2 linked regions of the Oryctolagus cuniculus genome follow. The main gene of each other region encodes a partner of the protein of the gene in region 2 in a complex. Links are inferred from orthologs where the notes say so. Each region holds a gene or a part of one and is shown on either strand. Other genes may lie near its edges.

Evidence for each region.
Region 1: CPSF3 (region 2) and CPSF4 share a complex: the UniProt entries of both Homo sapiens proteins name them as parts of the cleavage and polyadenylation specificity factor (CPSF) complex. The link is inferred for Oryctolagus cuniculus from reciprocal best matches to the Homo sapiens genes CPSF3 and CPSF4.

What each region holds. Positions count from the first base shown.
Region 1 is NC_091450.1:41,661,153-41,663,678, forward strand, and holds part of CPSF4 (cleavage and polyadenylation specificity factor subunit 4), read left to right. Parts: intron 1-461; coding exon of another isoform or gene 462-530; exon of another isoform or gene 531-818; coding exon 819-1,220; 3' UTR 1,221-2,526. UniProt on the Homo sapiens protein: Component of the cleavage and polyadenylation specificity factor (CPSF) complex that play a key role in pre-mRNA 3'-end formation, recognizing the AAUAAA signal sequence and interacting with poly(A) polymerase and other factors to bring about cleavage and poly(A) addition.
Region 2 is NC_091433.1:192,647,610-192,651,428, forward strand, and holds part of CPSF3 (cleavage and polyadenylation specificity factor subunit 3), read right to left. Parts: intron 3,228-3,819; coding exon 3,069-3,227; intron 1,727-3,068; coding exon 1,580-1,726; intron 340-1,579; coding exon 187-339; intron 1-186. UniProt on the Homo sapiens protein: Component of the cleavage and polyadenylation specificity factor (CPSF) complex that plays a key role in pre-mRNA 3'-end formation, recognizing the AAUAAA signal sequence and interacting with poly(A) polymerase and other factors to bring about cleavage and poly(A) addition.

The sequences.
Region 1 (2,526 bases), on a different chromosome or scaffold from region 2:
CCCCGCAAAACCAAGGGTACCCAGTTGTGGGAGCCCCAGAAGGCCTGGCCTGGGTATAGGACAAGGCCCTTGAGAGGCTCACCCAGCAAAGTCGCCTGCTGATCCCGAAGCCTCACCTCGGACCCGCTGGGTCTGAGCCGGCTGCCGGAGGCTCAGTGACAGGTGTAGCTGCACTTGCCCTCCCCTCAGCCCCACCCTGGGTGCTGCTGCCAGTCGCACCGAAGTCTGGGGCGGCTCTGAACGCAGCTGTGACTGCCTGGGGGTTTCCTAGGCCAGAGCCTGCAGTTAAGGGGTCCGAGCCAGGAACCCAGCTGGCTGGGAGATGGCCTGTCAAGTCCCCAGCCAGGAGCCCCCGCCCCCTCTTTCTTGCGTGACTCCCTGGAGGGCCCTCTCAGCCCCTAGACCCCAGGGCAGCGTGGCAGGCTCCAACTGTTTCTCTGTGACTGTTGCTCGCCGTGTAGGCCGCTAAACATCTGGCTGAACCAAGCGTTCATCCTGACCTGAAGCTAGAACCTCAGAAACAAAAGTAAGGCTGACCATGCCCTCGCCCCACTGCCCAGAGACCTCCTCTCGTCTCTTTGATGTTTTGTTTTCCACTTTTATTTTCCGTTTTTGTCTGTCTGCATGGTGTTTTTCGGGCAGCGGCTCCTGCCATCATCACCAGCTGTTTTTCTGCCCTCTGCAGAGGGGCCATGGCGGAAGCCCTTCTTCCTGCTGGCTGAGCGGGACTAGTCCCGCCCTCTTTTTTTCCTGACCCCATCGGTAGTCTGCGTGCACGTGGTTTCCGCAGTAAAACCGTGTTGTGTAACTCTTTCCAGCAAAGTAACAATCCGCCATTACAAAGGTCGTCCTCCTTGATCCAGTTAACGAGTCAGAACTCTTCTCCCAATCAGCAGAGAGCCCCGCAGGTCATCGGGGTCATGCAGAGTCAAAGCAGCAGTGCTGGCAACCGGGGACCCCGGCCGCTGGAGCAGGTCACCTGTTACAAGGTGAGTGTCGGGGCGGGGGGCAGGCTGGGCTCCTCTCTCCCTCATTCCCGAGGTGCATGGTGCATCTTGCAAAATGAAAACCTCTTTGTTTTTGCCGACCGTAAGAGTAAAGTTGGGCCACTGTGGTGGCTGGAGGCCAGCTGCTTCTACCGCCATGCCCAAGGCGAGGTGACTGACAGCATGACGTGCTGCCAGGTGCACTGCGCTTGGAAGAAAGTGCGGGCAGTCTAGGAACAGGGAGAGCAGTCCAGGCAGTGGCCCTGAGGCCCTGGAGGCCGTGGAGGCCTTGGATCCTGCGTGGGCACACCCAAGGGAACAGGACTAAGTGGGGCCCGCGGGGGGGGGGGGGGAGGCCTGGATTAGAACACCCCTCCTGTTCCCCATCTCCCATACATTAAATGAGATGTTACAGGGAAAGAGTGAACTTAAAGAACCTACTAGAAAACCTGTTTTTCTTATTCCTGCTCTGGGTGGGAAGGAGGGGAAATCCCTGGAGAGTGTGCAGGTGCTGTCTGGCTTCCTGTGAGTCTGGGGCCTGTGCTCACGACCCCGGTGAGGGCTCAGTCACTCCGGGGTGGCATGCACGTGGCAGGAGCGACCCCCAGTGCTCTGAGGAGTATGTTGTCAGCCAGGCCACACACAGTTCCCCCAGCTAAGGGCTCCAAAGGATGAGTTTATGACTAAAAGTCACAAATACAGGGAAACAAGCTCCACGAGTGAGTCACAGAAAGAGCCCGCAGAACTAGACCCACAGAGACTGCAGCTCCCGGGCCTCTAAACATAGAATACGGGATTAGTACATGCTGTTGGTAAAGGGTTTGTACAAGACCGTCTACCCTGTGTAGGGGACAGTGAGTACTGTCCTTCAGAGTTCTGGTGTCACACTTTGGTTCCCTTAAAGGAGAACACATCAGGGACCCCACGCCATGTTTAGAAACTACCGTTCCTCACACAAGTTCAAGTCTAATAGCGATTTTAGTACAGAGCCCTGGCGTGCACAGCATTCTGCAATCTCTTTATAATATCTGCGGCTGCCTCCATAGCAGTGTATAGAAATGTGATCTCTTCCAGCGACTGCGTTACAGCGATCACAGCTCACTTCCCAGTGCTCTGTGGGTAGACGCTTAACAGTTGTGCTGCTGATGGCGGTGCTGAATCTGACACTTGGCCATTTCTGGAATCTTGTCTGACGATGGTGTTGCAGGCCATGCCTGTAAGAGGCAGGTCTGAGTCCGAGGGCTTACTTAAAGCCTTGCTAGAACTTGCCCAACAGAAAGGCTGCGTCCTGGGACACTCCGGAGGCCATCAGGTTATTCACGGAGCCCCGGCTCCGCCGAGAAGTTGGATCCTGCTGTGGCTCTTTCCTCGGAGGAGTCTGCATGAATGAAACTTGGGTGTGTGCATTTAGGGAGTCTCCCTAGAGACTTCTGGGCTGAGCCCTGGCCTGTGAGGAGCACAGCCAGCCTCCACGGCGCAGGGAGAGCCGGCATTTCACCCCATCCCCACCCAAGATGTCCAGCAGGGCTTCCTCTGTGAG
Region 2 (3,819 bases):
ACTCTACGGCATTAAGATCTAACCAATCTGGAAACTTCCCATCTGAAGAAGAATCAGTGGACCCAGAAGGAGCCTAAAAAGCACAAACTAAAATTCCCATAGGCAGAAACAGGCACAATATCGTGATGTGCACAAAGGAGGCTTATCTTCAGAAAGCAGAGAGGATCAGGCGCCAGGAGCCTCTACCTTAGCTAGCTTTTCTCCTCTGAAGTTTAAGGTCACTGCTTCTGTGTTCCGAGGATTATGGACCTCTATGTGAACTTCATCGTTGTCCTCATACTCTCGAATCAGGGCTGCTTTCAACCTGGCCATCTCATTCTGCTCTCCATGGACCAAAATCTATACAAAATAGAAGTTAAAAGGGCACAGAGAAACGTTCTTTATTCAGACGAATGACGGCCCGTTCCTGAATTAAATACATGAAACAGAGACACACTGGGAGCTGCGAAACTGCTTTTCCTTCTCCAGCCTTTGCCACTGAGAAAGCCCGTGACTTTTCCTGTTTCTGCGCTAACACTGGTCAAGGGCTGACCAGCAGACTCGTCCCTACCACCTCCCGTGCATGATTCTTGTACAGAACCGTTGCTACTTTACTCTCAAGAAGCTCCTACAGCTTTCTCAAGTTTTTACTCTAAGACTTCCAACAGAAGCTTTCTGTGAGGATAAAACAAACGGATGTTTCTTCCGTGTAATAAGCAACATCAAAGAAATATTTCAGAACTAACAGAAGTGCTCTGGAGGAGGTATTTACGAGTATGCGTTAACTGCCAGTCTCTCCCTGTCCCTGTTACAGTATCTGTTTACAAGACAGAGCAGCCTTTGCCTGCAGACCCTGCTCACGGTTGTACAGCATTACTAAATCACTAAAGCCATGAATTACACACCTGAAATTGTTAAATTACAAATTCCATTTTATATATATTTGAACAAAAGTGTTTACAACACTAACCAACGTCCACTTCCTCTATACTACTTAATACAGACATGTTTTTAAGTGTTCTTCTAGTTAAAAATACATATTTTTTTCAGCTTACTCCTCTCCTAGATCCCACTAAGATACATAACTGTTTCATTTATGACTGCATGAAACTTAAGAATATAGACAAGCTGTACTAAGAAGACGCTATTCTATGATTTATCTTTCCCCCTCTCCTGACCACCCTTGCACTGCCTGTCTGGTGTTGCTAAGCACCCATCTGCTCCTGGCACCCCATCCGGTGCTGTGGAAACACGGCCCCGTTCAGCCTTCCCGACAGCTGCACGCAGGGCTATTCTCCCTACGGACATAGCAGGTGGAGTGGCTGCGTGGCCTGCCCAGGGGATGGCGCTGAGGGGAGGACGAGCAGCCGCACTGCACCGGGGAAGCAGCCAGCCCCAGCAAGCACACGAAACTGGGCTGAGAGGTCCAAACACGAGCAAGTGCGCGGCTTGCCCAGGACAGGGCGCCGAAACCACGCCCAAGGGCAGACGCTCTGTTCACCACAATGGCGGGCAGTGCCTGTCTGTGAACCAGCTGCTGCCTGGTTTCCTGGGTAAGCTTTTCCCACTAGAACATTACAGATCAAATCCACACACTAACCACATGAGGCGGTTTCAAAGCACGAATAAATTCACTGGTTTGTTGGTAATCTGTGTGAGCAGAGAAAGAAATGTAATCAACAGACATTTTCAATGGTAGCTTCTGTCCAGACATGGTAGTAATTTCTTCAGGTTCAGACATGATATGCTGTGAAAAACAAAGACAAATCACAAAATAAAGCAAACAAACTCTCCAGTTAGGAAAGAGGAGGTGCACGTAGCCATTCAACTCTCAGGGTAATGTGGGACCTTCAGCACAAAACACATTTGAACATTGTGACTCAGAAATTAAATGTTCATTTTCCTCATCAGGCAAGCAATTAGCAAGGAAAATACATAGATTAATGAAAATTCAATGTTTCGGGAGTGCTGGCAGTAAAAATCTCAAGTCTTATGATTAGAAAGACAAACCTGTATTCCCAACTATTTTTTTGCTCTAAAAATTCACTTTTCAGATACAAGGACTCATATAAAGCACAGATGTAATTCTATTCTAGAAATCTACCTTAAATACATGGCCAATATTGTTTCTAAAGGACTTTGTAGAATTAGGCGAAATAATAAAAATGATCAAAGTGGGAACCATACCACATTTTTAAAAATAAAATAGATGTGCATGGGAAGAGGGTGAGGAGGTGACTGTGGTTATTCAGCAACTGCCTTTGGGCCTGGCACACCTTTTCCACAGCATCCACACCTCGGAGAACCAGCATCAGTGTTTTATACCAACAGCAGGACGGTCAACCCAGTCCCAACAGCAGGACGGTCAACCCAGTCCCAACAGCAGGACGGTCAACCCAGTCCCATTCCAGGGCTTCTTAAGACAACGCGTTACCGGCCCAACATCCTTCATCTGAAAACCTAAAACCTGCAAACACCTGAAACCCTTTGAGTGTTGGTATGACACATCAAGCAGAAACTTCCATGTCTGATCTCATGTGATAGCCACAGACAAAACACAGGCACTAAAACATTTCATAAAACTGCCTTCCTGTGACGTGTGTGGGATATATGTGAAACACAAATGAATTTCCTAGTTAGATTTGGGTCCCATACCCGAGATATCTCATTAAGTATACAGAAAATGCAAAAAACAAACAAACAAACAAAAAACCAAAAAAACCCCAAAAACAATAAAATGAAATCAATCAGAAATCCAAGCACTTCAGGTCTCAGGAACGTGGGATTAAGAGGCCTTAGTGTGTATTAATGAACCTCCTCTTCACTGCATGAGGGTGTCACATGTGTGCTTGTCTCAGGGAGGTGCCTATCAGTTCTTTCTAACTGGCAAGCGGATGAGCATCTCTGACTTTAATGAGTGTGCCGACCGCGTGGCTCTTGCTGTGCTATTTGGTGCGTGCACAGCTCCTCGCCCAACGCACATCTCTAGCACCCATTTCCATGCTCACTTTAAAAGGTCAAAATTAAATTAATGAACTACTTTGGTGGGAAAACCTCTGAGGGTCCCGAGAGCCCAAGACGTGACTGACCTTGGCAAGCGTGCCTTCCACGCAGTAGCCTGCTATGATGACGCCGTTTCTCTTGTCGGTGCACCAGCTTTCAAAGAGCTCTCTGGACAGGCCGCTCTGCATCATGCCCGGTGAGGCCATGACCACGCTGGGGCCGATGTCGTCAAAGTGGTCCATGCTCTGAGGGAGAAGGGGCAAACGCACACCAACCACCAGGCTTGGCAACGTGTTCTTCATTTTTAAACAAGGATCTAAAGTTAGGTGAACGATTAATCATACTCCTGAAGGGTCTTTGCAAGACTAGTAGACATTCTAAGTCCAATCGTTGAGTTCTAACAGTTTAGCTGGCACAATAGGTAAAGTTGTTGATAAAAAGCAGGAAGTCAGCACTGATCTGCAAAACCTACTTGGACCTAACGGGCCACTAGGATATTTTAGTGCCAGCAGGCAGGCGCGAAAGGCCAAGGAGAGTCCAGGGGGTCTCCACCCACCCAAGACAGAACTCCCGGAGAACTGATCCAGACTCCCCACGACCGCAGGTTTCAACATTCTGAGCCAGCCTGGCATTCGTATTTTTTCTTTTTTTAAGAGATTATTTACTTATTTGACAGACAGAGTTATTCAAAGGAGAGAGAGAAAGAGAAAGAAAGAAAGAGAGAGAGAGAGATGTCTTCTGTCCACCGATTCACTTCCCAGATGGCCTTAATGTGCCAGGCAAAAGCCAGGGGCTGGAAGCTTTGTCTGTCCGGGTCACCCTTACGGATGGCAGGGG